Schizosaccharomyces pombe: one gene and its partner. The gene in region 1 interacts genetically with each later gene. Each region holds a gene or a part of one and is shown on either strand. Other genes may lie near its edges.

Evidence for each region. A genetic interaction does not mean that the proteins touch.
Region 2: mutations in pxl1 (region 1) and cdc15 are lethal when combined (synthetic lethality), as found in Schizosaccharomyces pombe (4 studies listed by BioGRID, with this or other methods).

What each region holds. Positions count from the first base shown.
Region 1 is NC_003423.3:2,709,217-2,716,902, forward strand, and holds pxl1 (paxillin-like protein Pxl1), read left to right. Parts: upstream 1-2,951; 5' UTR 2,952-3,295; coding exon 3,296-3,324; intron 3,325-3,380; coding exon 3,381-4,668; 3' UTR 4,669-4,991; downstream 4,992-7,686. Other genes in the region: asn2 (asparagine synthase), read right to left, coding at 632-2,278; erb1 (WD repeat/BOP1NT protein), read right to left, coding at 5,208-7,430; nop4 (RNA-binding protein), read left to right, coding at 7,649-7,686.
Region 2 is NC_003424.3:1,396,929-1,404,690, reverse strand, and holds cdc15 (F-BAR domain protein Cdc15), read left to right. Parts: upstream 1-1,754; 5' UTR 1,755-1,804; coding exon 1,805-1,885; intron 1,886-1,943; coding exon 1,944-2,035; intron 2,036-2,211; exon of another isoform or gene 2,212-2,226; coding exon 2,227-4,664; exon of another isoform or gene 4,665-4,675; intron 4,676-4,720; coding exon 4,721-4,893; 3' UTR 4,894-5,491; downstream 5,492-7,762. Other genes in the region: CCR4-Not complex subunit Not1, read right to left, coding at 1-1,369; cir2 (electron transfer flavoprotein-ubiquinone oxidoreductase), read left to right, coding at 6,768-7,762. UniProt on the Schizosaccharomyces pombe protein: After the onset of mitosis, forms a ring-like structure which colocalizes with the medial actin ring. Appears to mediate cytoskeletal rearrangements required for cytokinesis. Essential for viability.

The DNA of each region.
Region 1 (7,686 bases):
AAAAGTCTGAATCAAAAACGGCCGTAAACGAGAATGCAACCTACAAGGATCCGGTTCTTTCTCGAGGACTTTCATCATCCATAGATGTATCGACTGGTGTTGCATTGGTAAATTTACCAGAAGAGCTTGAAAATATGAAATACTTGCAAATAGACACTCCTGAAAGCAAAGAATATCCTCGTAGCACAAGGCCGAGAGCTCTTCTCATAGTGGCTCTTTCACAACTGATTCTGGAAAAAGATCACGCAGAAACTCAAACAAGTATGTTGGTTCTAGCGATCGACCTCCCTATCGAGTATCTCGTGCATATTCCTCGTCTGCTACCCATTCTCCCATCGTTCATGAAGAGCAGCCAGTGGATGATGGATTACAACAAAATGATGACCTGCGAGAGGCAACAACAGCGTCTCTTGAGACAGCTGAAGCTGAAAGGCTACAAGCTCGGGAAAAGGCTGAAGCAATTACGGCTTTAAGAGCTATGTTTCCAGCGTTTGACAGTGAAGTGATTGAAGTTGTGTTAAATGCGCAACAAGGAAGGCTTAGTTCATCTATTGATTCCCTTTTGGAGATGAGTTAACATTTGTAGTTTTATGAAATACTCAAGTATAATTTATTATTATTATTATTATTTTTAAATACAAACTTCTAACTTTTTACGACCTGATGTTCTACCGGTTCCAGGAGTCATCTTTGCTGCTTTAGAACCAAACTGAATAGCCCTCTTTTTTTCTTGACTAGCTAAGGGACAACCTAATCGACGTCCTAATTCACGTAAAATTAGTTTGTCACCTCCAACTAAATCTAGACGCATTTTATCAGTAGTTTTCATTTTGCTAAACAAAGCCATCAGACGCTCATCGAGAAAAGGATAACGCACCTCTTTCCCTTGATTAGACATTACCCTGTCATCTCTGCCCAAGTTACGATGTGGAATACGATCAATGTCCAATTGCAGTTCTTCTTCAAGACCGGCCATACCTTTCCGTTCAAACGCTCGTAGGTGCCGCATATAACCACCGAGCTGCTCATCAGCCCCCAGGCCACTGATGAGGACTTTAGCTTTTATAGTATAGGAAGGTAATTGATGTTTCAGTTTGATATCATCCACGTTTTGTAAAAGTACACCACGCCCTTGTGAAGCAAAATAAAAAGCTAATCCAATAGAAAGATCCATAACTGAATCGTTCGGATAGATAAGTGTTTTGACTATTTCCTGTGCTTCACATACTTCTGTATAAGGAACGTTTATAGCAACAAAATTCCATTTTCGAGCAGGGCAAACTGAAATAAGCTCCTGCCAGCCTTGTAATCCAGTTTGTCTATCAGGACATACGTCGTATGCATCAAAATTGTCAGGAAGAAGTCCCGTCTCTCTGTCACGGTATGTCTCTGTAAATCTTGGGTTTTCAAAAGCCACATTAATTAAATCGATGGACTCGTTATTGGGAACTATGTCGTGCATTAGCCGTGCTAATACACCGCAATCCACTCCCCCAGAGTAAAGAACGCAAACTCGGCTATAATGACTACAGTCAAGGTTTGAAGAGCACAGTTTGGGGATTGTTAAAACTCTATCTTGAAGCGCTTTGATAAGATATGTATGCAATGTGTCCACAGTGTCTGAAGAGATTGAGCCCATGAGAAAGGACTCATCCACAGGAGGAAGAGGGTTTGTTTTTTCCAGTTGCATTAATGATTTAGAGAAGTTAATTTTTGGGATCAAGTCCACCTGCACACTATGAAACCCAGGCTCAACTTCTCGGAAATCACTAGAATTTCCTACACTTGAGAGAACGAAATTACTATCTCGTAAACTATACAAAAGGGATCTTCTTCCTAAGCGATCTCTTCCCCACCACAATGTGTTTGTACGAACTTGGTAGTAAACAAAAGCAAAAGGTCCTTGAATACTTCCCAAAATTTTTTCAATGTCGCCCGGGTTATTGTTTAAAAGTTCAAAAAGTTTTGCACCGTCGTTTTCATTACGATTGAGCGTAAATTTGTGATGATCGCTATGGTTTATTTGCCAAATTTCTCCATTCCAACACAAAACGTTTCCAAAACTGTCAACATGAGGTTGAGGCGTTAAATGATCAGAAGGGCCACGTAAATGCAAAACGCTTGACTCAAAGTGCAAATTCCAAGGTCCGCTATTCAATTTATGCTTACCAAAAAAATCAGGTCCTCTAGCCCGAATCCTTTTTCGTAAAGCTGAAAAAGATGGACTTTCAAGAAGATTATCTCTGTCTTCCGCTAAGGCGAAAAGAATTCCGCACATAAACTATTCTCAAACACTTTTGCTTCTAACAAATCTACAGTCAAAAAAGTGTTTTTTCCTTTAACGACGTTTGTGTGGTACAGTGTGATCGTAATTTTATATACAATATCATTTTGCGACACATTGCAACGCTTATAAGTAACTACACACTGAACAGACTCACGGGTCTACATATTTTTTCTTATACAATTATACTTACAACTGGTAAAGAATTTTCTTAGGTCAATCTGTAGCTTGAAAGCCAAAATTAGGTTTCTATTTATGAAACAATAAGCGAAATGCTGTATGCCTGACAAAGCATAATGGGGTAGTTAATGACATTTAAAGAGCTGTAACAATACAGTAAGCATTAATAACGCGCTCCACAATAATCTACTGCCAAAGTATAAAAAAAATAAATTATAAAAAGATATTGTACCATATTATGAAATCGCAACATATAAAATTGTCCAACAAATAACATTGATTTCGTTTGGAACATTTTCTGCATAGGAATGGCTTAATTCACTTTAATTACTAATATATTCGCATTTTTTTACTTTCTGCTGGTATACAAACATTGAATACGTACTCTCTAAGTATTCGTTAAAGGTACAATGTTACCTATTATGAGGCTGGTTTCTATAACAACGAATGTTTGTTTATATTTTGGAATATACACTTAAACAAAGCCAACACTTATTAGCTAAAACACTTTGGATAAAGCAAATATTACTGCTTTCTAAATAATAACTACTTGCTTACAATTGCATTTTTTTAATACAGCTAGTTTTTTTGGGGGACTCCGCTCTTTGAGATATATATCCTTACGTTGGCAACAATTTTCTATAAGTTAATCCCAGCTTGATTTTTGTTTTTCCTTCCTTATCCTTCTCTTCCTATTTTTTATCTTGTTTTTAAGTGTTGCGGCTAGATTTATACCCTGCGAGCTTGGCTATCCTGATTTCTTAAGGTTGTCAACGATCCTGAATTCTTTCCGTTGATTAGTGTCCTGATAGTTGAGAAGCATATCAGCAAATGCATTCACCAATTCCAGAATTACCAAGGTAATCTATTGTCTTATTGTTATTACCCAATTAGGTATCTAACTTCGTTTTTGTAGATTTGAACGTCGATTGACTGGTCCTCGTGCTGCTCCTTCTTCGCCGGTCTCTACTAATGGCTCCCCGCTAAACAATTTAGTTCGTTCTCGGTTATCTGATGGAGCACTTAACTTTACTGGAGGTCGAATAGCTACACCATTACCGCAACCAAGTTTGAAGACTCCTGAATCTCCTTTGTCCAAGAGGAATCCAACAATAAAACAAAATCGTGTACGTTTTGATCTGCCTGATGACGAGCTCTCTCGTTCTAATGTTTCGTCGCCGGAAAAAACACTACTAACCTCTGCTTCTACTTCTACTTTCGATAGCTTAAAAAAGGAGCTTTTACCTGAATTGCCATCTCTTGCATACAGTGACGACGATGAGTTTCCTAGTTCGCCGGAGGAATTGAATTCACATGTTAATTATCCAGACGTACGAAATGTTTACGATTGTCATACCGGTTTACAGCCGCTTGTTGATCATGATTGCATTGAAGACAGACAAAAAACCTTCGCATCCAAACAACTTCCTACTCTTCCTTTACAGAAATCCAGTAAACTTTCCAATCGTAGACCCGCTTTGCATTCTTTTCATTCTGCTCCTGCTAATAGCTTATATCCTTTGCCCACCCCCACTTCACAATTGCCTAGCAACTTGTCCTCAAATAATTTATTTCAATCAGATTCACTTAAGCCTTCAATGGTATCTTCTCATACATCTACAAAACCAGTTCTTTATAGAGGCAATTCTGAAAAATCCTGTCATAGTTGCGGCGGTTCTTTACGCGCTGGCAGAATAATTAGTGCTTCAGGAAAGAAATTACACCCTCAATGCTTCAAATGCGATACTTGTTCCCAGAACTTAGAGCACGTTGGATTTTATTACCGCGAGGGAAAATTTTATTGTCATCTAGACTATCATGAACAGTTCAGTCCTCGCTGTAAGCACTGCAAAACCCCAATTGAAGACCAAGCGGTCCATATCAACAATGATTGGTTTCATGAAAATCATCATTTTTGCGCTGGTTGCTCTGAAGTTTTTAATGTAAATATACCCTGTATTTACCGTGACGACCTATACTGGTGTCAGACTTGTTATGATAATAAGTATGCTGTTAAGTGCAAGAAATGCCGTAAACCCATTTTGGGGATCAGTGTAAAAGGGTCTGATGGTGAATATCATAGCCAATGTTGGACCTGCGGAGCTTGTAATGCCCTACTTGGAGATGAGGGTTATTTTATGATAGAAAATACCCCTATTTGCCGTCCTTGCAAGGCGATATCAGTCAAGTTTAATTTGGATTAACTCAGACTTACTCATCACTTTCTTTTTCTTTTTTTTTTGTTATTTTTTCACTTCTTTCATCGATTTTAGCTTTATAAGGAAAGCTGTCTTGGAAATCTTGGAGATTTTAAATCATTTCATTTAATCCACAAAGTCCAGCATGTTTACTTGCATTTAAACTTGCTGTATTTTTATAATTAAGCAATTAATGATTAGGTAACTATAGATATATAAAAAGCACTATTGAATTTCAACGGTTACGATTTTTGATATCACGTAATACTTAAATACTTTAGATAACTTACCAAAAAATAAAAAATAAAAACATATTCAGTTTGCACAAATGCATTTTAAACTTTCGAAAACCCCTATATTCCTATTAAATATCCAAAATCAAGTACGAAAACAATCTTTTCGACTTGTTAGCAAAACTATAATACAGCATTGAAAAAGTATCTTTTGCAGTAAACACTACCAAACATTATTTTTAAAAGTAGAGTTTTTCTAAATTTTAAAGCAAGTGAAGAAAACAAAAATATTTAAGACGTTTCAAACCTTTTTCAAGTCCACATCCGAATTTCTCCACCAGCACCTGCACTGAATAACCAGGCTTCTTTTGGATGCCAGCATGTGGATAAAACACCGACATTATCAACCACTTTATGATTCCGCAAAATCTTAAGAGGAACAATCAAGGGATTAGCCAGAAGGTCACTGTAAACACGACCGTGGAACACTTGAACATCACCATCATCAGAGCCAGAGCAAAATAGTGGAAGGGAAGGATGATATGAGACATCGCGAAGAGCACGTGAATGATATCGAAGATTTTTATATGGTTTAGAAGAAAAGTCTAAGTCGAACCAACATAGCCTTTTATCATAGGAACCTATTATGACATGGTCCCCACTCGAATGGACACTTAAACTCGAAACCCATTTGACACCAGTTAACAAGGTCTTTACAAGCTCTTGCTTAACAAGATTGTATATGCGGACATATCGTTGAGTAGCAACCAGAAGATAAGGCATAGTAGGGTGAAACGTAACAGCTTGCACAGAACCTTTAGACTTAGAAAATGGCGATTGACTTGCACCTCTTGACAACTGATGAATAAGAACCGCCTGGCTAGAAGAAGTAGGAGAAGAAGTAGCTAGGTAATCACCGCGACGATGCCAAGACAAGGACTTAATGCTACTGGGAGTAGAAACAGTAGCATGGACTATACCACCATGTAATTGTAAAGATTGTTTGGCTCCTCTTCTCCATATTGCACTAGATTCTTGGTAAGGAGCAGAAGTAAACAATTCTTTAGAAGCTTCAATCTGCTCGTCAGAAAAGATCGGGGGTGTGATGAAATAGACTGTTTCATCAACAGCAACAGCAAGCACTGGACTATCTGAAAGAGGTCCCCAAGCAAGTGATTGAATTATAGAGCTCTTTGTAGAGTGACTTAAAGATTCATTAACCGCATCCTCATCGCTATCAATATTATGTGCATTACCAAAACTGTCCAAGCTGCATTTCCAAACACAACGACCAGTCATTACTTCCCAAATACGTAAAACTCCATCATCACCTCCACTTGCAAGCCAATTTCCGCTAACATGGACCGAAAGACAACGAACACGACCTTTATGACCGATGAAAACATTGGTGCAGCGTGTCGGAAATGGACGAAGCTCAGAGGGGGTAGGAAGTTTAGGAAGTAACGATTCTGGATCAATATTAAGTTTGGTACGTCTAACACGGGGAGCTAAATAAAGATCCAAGCAACGTTCAAACTTCTCCTTTATAAGGTTTGAGTAAGCAGGAACAACACGTAAGGATTTATATTTCTTAGGAAAGTCCGAAGACTGTTTTAAGTATTCTTCAGGAGGGTTATAGCTTTCCTCGTGTGATGGAGGAGGAAGCTTAGGTGCAGGTGCATAGTCCAACTTTCTCTGGTTAACAGTTGCTTGATCATCATCCGCCCAAAGATCATGATCTGCATAATTGCTTTGACTTTCGCGTTCACGTTCAGCACGCTGTTCAGAAGTGAGAATTCTTCCTTTACGGATAGCATAAGCAAGCTGTAAAATACGCTTTTGTTCATGCTTAGAGGGAGCAAATCGACGTTTGGGCTCAGGAGCGCTTGAAAGAGGAGTTTCCCGTACGGTGTTTGTAAAAAAATCATCATAATCAGGATATGGATCAAAGTTTTCGTCAGGAATCTCGGATTGAGCAAGTCGCTTTAGCAAACCGAGCTCTTCCGTAGTCAAGTTAACCGGCTTTCCCGTCATAGGATCAACTATTCCAGTCCATCCTTTGTCCTTATCAATGCTAGCAATTAAAGAATCCAAAGCAGCAGGTGTCGCAGGTCGGGTAATCTTTTTTCCATCTATATCATAATTTATATACAAATTCTCATCATAAGGAGATTCATATAGTCCAGGAGCGACATCTTCTGTAGAGGAATCGGAAGAATAACCAGCATCGATTTCCTCAAATTCTTCTTCATCATCAGCATCCTCAAAATCATCCGGGGATAACTCTGGAGTAGAACGTCCACTTTCAGAAGAATATTCCCCTTCTTCTTCCTCGGATAACTCGGCCGTCAAAGATGGAATTTCCTCATCAACATCTTTTTTAAAACTTGGTTCATGTGAAGAACTCTCAGTCTCAACCTCATTTGGCACATTTGAAACTCCTTTAGACTTTTCTTTTTCCTTATCCTTCTCTACGCCAACGTTGGAATTGGCTCTTTTGGACCTGGACCTCTTCCTATTCATGCCAGTCTCCATCTTGGAAAAAGACAAGGTAGTTTAGTTCCTGTTCAAAGTTTCTTTTTGCTTTTTCTGCAAAGTAGAGTACGCTTCCGTTAACATGTATAAGGATTTGCAACGAAATGATAATATACCGAGTGTCATTAAATAATATAGAGTGTTGAAGATTTCTTCTCGTTAATTTCGAAAAAGTCTAAAGTACATGTTCTTAGGAAAAAAGAAATTGTCGTTGTACCATGAACTCAAATAGCACATTATTTGTGCGAAATCTTGC
Region 2 (7,762 bases), on another chromosome or scaffold:
GCAGCGTACCCAAAAGCAAAAGCTCGGCAGAAACTTTCTCATCCAAAAAATTCAAGAACAGTGAAGTTTCGTAGGTGACTACCTCAGATAACAGGCGTAAAAGGATTTGGACAAGTTCAATGCAATTTAAATTACTTTTTTCATATATTTTCGCATAATTAACAAGCTCTTCGCTATAATCCTTTAAGCTATCAACAGAAACTACAGGATTGACATTGAACTCTCTTATATCAAACATCGATGTTGGGGATAGGATAATATGAGAAATGATGGAAAGTTGCGGTAAAGGATTTCTCCAAAGAACCCAGAGAAAGTCCAACGTAAAATTAGTTTGCCTTAACTTGTAAGCATTTGTAAAGATTGTGAAGAACAGTACAAGACTAGGTGTACCCGTTATCATAAATTTAGGATTATCGAACATAGAAAGCATAGCTTCCCAATTTAGGTTTTCAAAAGAGGAAACGATAGCTTTACCCATCAAAACAGTGTCCCAAGCACCATAATCATGTATAGCTACAAGTGAATTTATAAGATAAGCAACATCAGTCTCAGTAGCCGTTCCCGGGGGATATTTTTTAAGAATTGCTTCTTTCATAGACTTAAGTGTAGCTTTGGAAGCTTTCATCGGACCAAACAAAGCTGTAAGAGGGCGTGAATTCGCCAACTTTTTCTCAATTATAGCATCAAACTTTGGAACTTTAATCAAGGGTATTCTGTCATAGTCGGTGGTAAACAAACCTTCCCTGAGCAAATCCAAATCGTTTTTATCAATACTTTGTTGCTGAGTAGGATCGGATAGTTGGTTTAAAAGAGATTGGAATGTGTTTTTAAGCAAAGCAGAAGCTTTCTTTGCTAAAGTAGGTTTAACAGAAGTGGTAAGTCCAATTAAAAGGTTAGTCCTTTCTAACGGGGAGAATTGGAAATGGTCTAAAAATGCCTCTATATCGAAATCTTCAAATACTTCAGAATCAGAACCTGAAATAGCATCACTAAAACGTTTCGCCATGACCCAAGACTTCGTGAGAGATTTTAATTCATCTAGTAGTAATTTATAAGTAGCTAGTCCATCAGAAGATTTACCGGTACCAAAAATACGGTATGAATTTCCTTGAATTAGACGGCGAAGAAAATGGTGGTATACTCTGGGTGCATTTTTGTTGATAAGTTGACGAATCTGTTCAAGTTTCGTATCATATTGGTCTTCCCGTAAGGTCGACAATAAGAAAAGGATTTGTGCTTTAACAATACTTTCAATTTTTGAATCGTTTGGTGGAGGGGTCTTAGAATCTAGTGATATAGGATGCCCAGATTCAGAAGTTGAACTAGATTTCTCTCGTGTCTCCGGCGTTTGTTGTTCTTGGCTCTTCATATTTTTAACGCTTTTCTATTACCATGCCTTTGTGAGGCTATTATTATACTCCTATGCTATTTTCAGCTGATATATTCTTTGAATATTTACAGATGAGATGCAGCAGTATCTGCTAGCAAGTTTGAATGAAAATAGGTGCAGTGGTGTTTTGCAAAAGATATGTCGGTCCTCCTCACTGCCAGGCAGTCTAAGAAAGGATCGAACATTAAATTTAACGAGACTGTATCTTTCGTAAACTTTTTTAACAAAATTTAAGGATAGAGTTAATTTGCAGTTGCTTATTGTGCACTCAGATAGGCAACGGTTGCTAGGGACGGTTGTCACCGCAGTAGTCGCAGTAAACAAACATGTTTACTCTTTTCCTGAAATCGACTACCAGGAATTTACCAACAACAAATCACAAATTTTGCTGCATTTTGTTCTTTCAATAACAAAATGGAGGTTAATGGAGTCTCTCAATCTGAAGCGGCTCCGTACGTTACCAAATCTTCTGTTAAGTTCCGCGATAATTTCTGGGTATGTGTAAATTTGCTGTATTTAGTAAAGCAAAGTTATGTTAACAAAATCGTTGCAGGGATCTGAAGATGCGGGTATGGATGCTCTTATGTCCCGAACAAAATCTTCTCTTTCCGTATTAGAATCAATTGATGAATTTTACGCAAAGCGGTAAGTATGGTTGCCTCGTTTGGAAGTTGCAGCTCTACCTTAAGCGCTACGATGATTCAAGAAATATGTTTTTGGTCGTTTCATTGTCATTTAAGATGTTTTACAGATAATCGTGGATTCTTAAGATAGCTTGTGTAATGAACCGAAGGGTTCGGTATGATTATTGATTAAAGTCTGACTAACTAAATTAGTGCTTCTATTGAGCGTGAGTACGCATCTAAACTGCAAGAGTTAGCTGCCAGCTCAGCAGACATCCCAGAAGTTGGATCAACTTTAAATAATATTTTATCTATGAGAACTGAAACAGGGAGTATGGCCAAAGCGCATGAAGAAGTCTCACAACAGATAAATACCGAATTGCGAAATAAAATTCGCGAGTACATTGATCAGACGGAGCAACAGAAAGTTGTTGCAGCCAATGCCATTGAGGAATTATATCAGAAAAAAACGGCTCTCGAAATAGACTTATCCGAGAAGAAGGATGCCTACGAGTACAGTTGTAACAAGCTGAATAGCTACATGAGACAGACAAAAAAGATGACTGGTCGTGAATTAGACAAATACAATTTAAAAATCCGTCAAGCAGCGCTAGCAGTAAAAAAAATGGATGCGGAATACAGAGAAACAAACGAATTACTTCTTACAGTTACTCGGGAATGGATTGATCGTTGGACAGAGGTCTGTGATGCTTTTCAACATATTGAGGAATATCGTTTAGAGTTTCTCAAAACAAACATGTGGGCCTATGCAAATATAATATCTACTGCTTGTGTAAAAGATGATGAATCTTGTGAAAAGATTCGACTCACACTCGAAAACACTAACATTGATGAAGATATTACTCAAATGATTCAAAACGAAGGTACCGGAACTACAATTCCCCCTTTACCCGAGTTTAATGACTATTTCAAAGAAAACGGATTAAATTATGACATCGACCAGCTCATTTCTAAAGCTCCTTCTTATCCATACTCCTCTTCGCGTCCCTCAGCTTCTGCATCTTTGGCAAGTTCGCCAACACGTAGCGCTTTTCGCCCCAAAACTAGTGAAACAGTTTCATCGGAAGTTGTATCATCACCACCTACTTCACCATTGCATTCACCAGTTAAGCCAGTGTCTAATGAACAAGTTGAACAAGTTACAGAGGTTGAACTTTCTATTCCCGTTCCTTCTATACAAGAAGCTGAATCCCAGAAACCAGTACTTACAGGGAGCTCAATGCGTCGACCTTCTGTAACATCACCAACTTTTGAAGTAGCTGCTCGTCCTTTGACTTCAATGGATGTTAGATCCTCTCATAATGCCGAGACTGAGGTACAGGCTATACCCGCTGCAACAGATATATCACCCGAAGTTAAGGAAGGTAAAAATAGTGAGAATGCTATCACGAAAGATAATGATGATATTATTTTGAGTAGTCAACTTCAACCTACTGCTACCGGAAGTCGGTCATCTAGGTTGTCTTTCTCTCGACATGGACACGGGTCTCAAACTAGTTTGGGATCTATCAAACGAAAATCAATAATGGAGCGTATGGGGAGACCCACTTCTCCCTTCATGGGTTCTAGTTTCTCTAATATGGGTAGCCGAAGTACCTCACCTACTAAAGAAGGATTTGCTAGCAATCAACATGCCACAGGCGCGTCTGTCCAGTCTGATGAGTTAGAAGATATTGACCCCAGAGCTAACGTTGTTTTAAACGTTGGACCCAACATGCTTTCTGTTGGAGAGGCACCAGTGGAATCCACATCCAAAGAAGAAGACAAAGATGTACCCGATCCCATCGCTAATGCAATGGCTGAATTAAGTTCGTCAATGAGAAGACGCCAATCGACATCAGTTGACGATGAAGCGCCTGTTTCTCTTAGTAAGACGTCTTCTTCTACAAGATTAAATGGCTTGGGCTATCACTCTCGAAATACTTCTATAGCTAGTGATATAGATGGCGTTCCCAAAAAGAGTACCTTAGGAGCTCCTCCAGCCGCACACACTTCTGCTCAAATGCAACGCATGAGTAATAGTTTTGCTTCCCAAACAAAGCAGGTGTTCGGAGAGCAACGAACCGAAAATTCAGCTAGAGAATCCCTTCGTCATAGTCGAAGCAATATGAGTAGATCTCCTTCTCCAATGTTATCGAGAAGAAGCTCCACCTTGCGCCCAAGCTTTGAGAGGTCTGCATCTTCTCTTAGTGTACGCCAATCTGATGTCGTTTCGCCAGCACCTTCTACAAGGGCTCGTGGGCAATCAGTGTCTGGTCAACAAAGGCCATCTTCATCTATGTCGTTGTATGGTGAGTACAACAAATCTCAACCTCAGTTGTCTATGCAACGTTCTGTTTCTCCCAATCCGTTAGGCCCTAATCGTAGATCGTCATCAGTCTTACAGTCACAGAAATCTACTTCATCTAACACATCAAACCGAAACAATGGTGGTTATAGTGGATCGAGACCAAGTTCAGAAATGGGTCACAGATATGGGTCTATGAGTGGAAGGTCCATGAGGCAAGTTTCCCAAAGATCCACCAGTCGCGCACGGTCACCAGAGCCGACTAATAGAAATAGCGTTCAATCAAAGAATGTCGATCCACGAGCTACTTTTACGGCTGAAGGAGAGCCAATTTTAGGATATGGTAAGTTCATTAAAGAGAAACTTTAAAAATTTTTAATTTTACTAATTATAATTCAGTTATCGCACTTTATGATTATCAAGCTCAAATACCTGAAGAAATTAGCTTCCAAAAGGGCGATACATTAATGGTTCTTCGCACACAAGAAGATGGATGGTGGGATGGTGAAATTATTAATGTTCCAAATTCAAAACGTGGTTTATTCCCGTCGAACTTTGTTCAGACGGTATAGACACTGATTACCCTCTTTTCTAGATGTTTACACTTGCATTCTTTTTCGCGTGGTTACTATCTCTTACTAATCCGTAATTCCTTATTTTTTTTTTGATGACTTAACGCGAAACGACATGCTTTTTTTTTTTAAATTCATTTCTCGTCATGGTCTAAGCTTCGTTGCATTGCATAGGTATTTATACGCATTTATTTTGATATCTAAAGATTTCTGTTTTAAAGGAAATACACATAGAATCTAGTTGATTGGAATATATTTTATTTTATTTTATTAACAATGTTTGACTCCTTTGTCCTTTGGCTATTGTAAGACGTAAGAATAACACTAATTGTTTTTGAAGATTTCGTGCATTTCAAAGTTTCATATGATTTTTACATCAATTTCAAAACCGATTTTAGTAAATTAAAATCAAGGTACGATTTGGTATGTAGCTTTGACAAGATATAGCTAAATTGCTAATTTTTATCAGTAACTAGAGGATAAAGTTGAATAAACCAAAAATATAACACGATGATGAATTTGCCTGCTCAAAAATATGATATCCGCAGATGTAGGATTCTGAGCTTTACTTTTTAAAAAGAAGCCGACCGATAATTACCAGAAAATGCATTTGTGGATAAGGTATGTTTGAAGAGTGCAAACCCAGATTTTTTGTTTGGCTATAGATACAGTGTGCATCAACTAGCTTGTAAACATGAGTGTTAGGAGATATGAATAGATGCTTATAAAATGATCTGATTGAAAAGAAGTCTCGCTAGCCTGAACAGATAAGATTATTGATTGAGGTATAAAAAGACATAAGACCCTGATTTTGCAAAAACACATGCGTGCCTTTATATTTACATACCTACTTAGTGAAAAAGCTACAGATTTTGTTATTTGCTTTAACGATACAATGAACTGCGGTGAGTTTCGCTTATGAGCTGTTTATTCTATGATACTTTTGAATAATAGAGGTAACAGTTGCTATATATATTGTTATATGTAGGTACTGTTGTAATTTGTCGCTGAGAAAGAACTGAAGAACGAGGATCTATTTATCGTGTATTATTCTTAATAGCTTATATTTTATTGTATTGTTAGCAAGATCTATCTCATGTTCGTATTATCATGACACGATGTGCAAATTGAATGAATGAATGAATAATGATATGTAGCGTAATGCAGTATTACTGACACATACACTGATTTTACACAGTATCTCTAAAGCCGTCAAAAACAGAGAAATTAATTATCGTTAAATTATTTAACGCCATAAATAGAACTACTGCCAAATTCACCAGAATATCATAAATGTAATAACGAAATTTTTCACCAGAACCTTCAATTTTATTGATAGCGGCCGTGATAATTGGTTTTCCCGCACATTTTAGATTACTTAGATCCGATTCATTGGCTGTATCCGTAGCCTTCGGTTTAATTCAGGAAATGCAATTGGTGCGCTGTTAAAGGTAAGGAGCGGCTTCCTCGGTTAAATGACGAATGTCCTGCGTTCCTTTATTTATTTTATTTACATCTTCTTTTCCTTTTCCTTCTTTACTACACATGTCAAATTAATAGCCACTAGCTTGACCGATTAGAGAGAATCCAACTTTTTTCTTTCTCTTTCATTCCTGTTGTTTTGTATCTGTCTACACTTGTTCGTTTTAGCGGTGCGGGATTTCCAAGTGTATTAACGGGTGTCTGTTTGTGAATAGTTTTTTTTTTTGTCTCGTCTTAAGGCTCCTTCGTTTCTAGTTTTGTAATATCTTTTTTTGTATTATTTGATAATTGTTTTCATTTGTTGAGAAAGTACTTGATATTAGCTTCTTGTTCTGTTCGTATTAGTGATTACTTTTAAATTTTTTCAGCAATTGTGCTAAAGTGCCTAATTAATGTCTTATTTATCGAGATCTGCACTCGCTCGGTCAGTCGGGGCTAAACACCTTACTGGGGTATTGAGAAAAATCGGGAGAAGGGGAGGAAGATCGATGCACGTTCTCCCTCTCGCTTCTCCTAGTACTCTTTTAAAAATCTCTTCTCAAACTTTACGTCAAGATTTCACCGTTCTGGGCGCTCGTAATTTTCATTCAAGTTCCGTTCGACTTAATGAATTGACGGATAATTTGCGTAAACTAGATACTATTGAGCGAGAGGTCGAGGATGTGGATGTGTGTATTGTTGGTGCTGGCCCTGCGGGACTTAGTGCTGCCATTCGTATCAAGCAACAAGCTGCCAAAGCCAACAGAGACATTCGTGTCGTGGTACTTGAAAAGGCTGCTGAGCCCGGTAACCACAGCGTATCTGGGGCTGTAATTCAACCTACTGCCTTAGATGAACTACTTCCTAATTGGCGTGATGACCCACCTGAAAACTGTACTGCTGTTACTCACGATAAAATGAAGTTCCTGATCCCAAAATTGCATTTCCCTATTCCTGTCCCTCCAGCCATGAAGAACCACGGAAATTATGTTATGAGTTTAGCAGAATTTACCAGATGGCTAGCTGCAAAGGCCGAAGAATATGGAGTTGAAATATATCCTTCTTTTGCTGCTTCAGAGGTCCTCTACAACAAAGATGGTTCTGTTATTGGCGTTGCCACTAATGATTTTGGTGTCGATAGTAAGGGTTTGCCCAAAGATAATTTCGAACGCGGCATGGCTTTTCACGCACCTGTCACCTTATTTGCTGAAGGTGCTCACGGTTCCCTATCAAAATCTATTATTAAGCGTTTTAATCTTCGAGGAAATTGTGAACCTCAAACCTATGGTTTGGGTGTAAAGGAGGTTTGGCGTGTACCTGACGAGAACTTTCGCAAAGGTGAGGTAGCCCATACATTAGGATGGCCAATGAGGAATGATACATATGGTGGTGGTTTTATGTATCAATT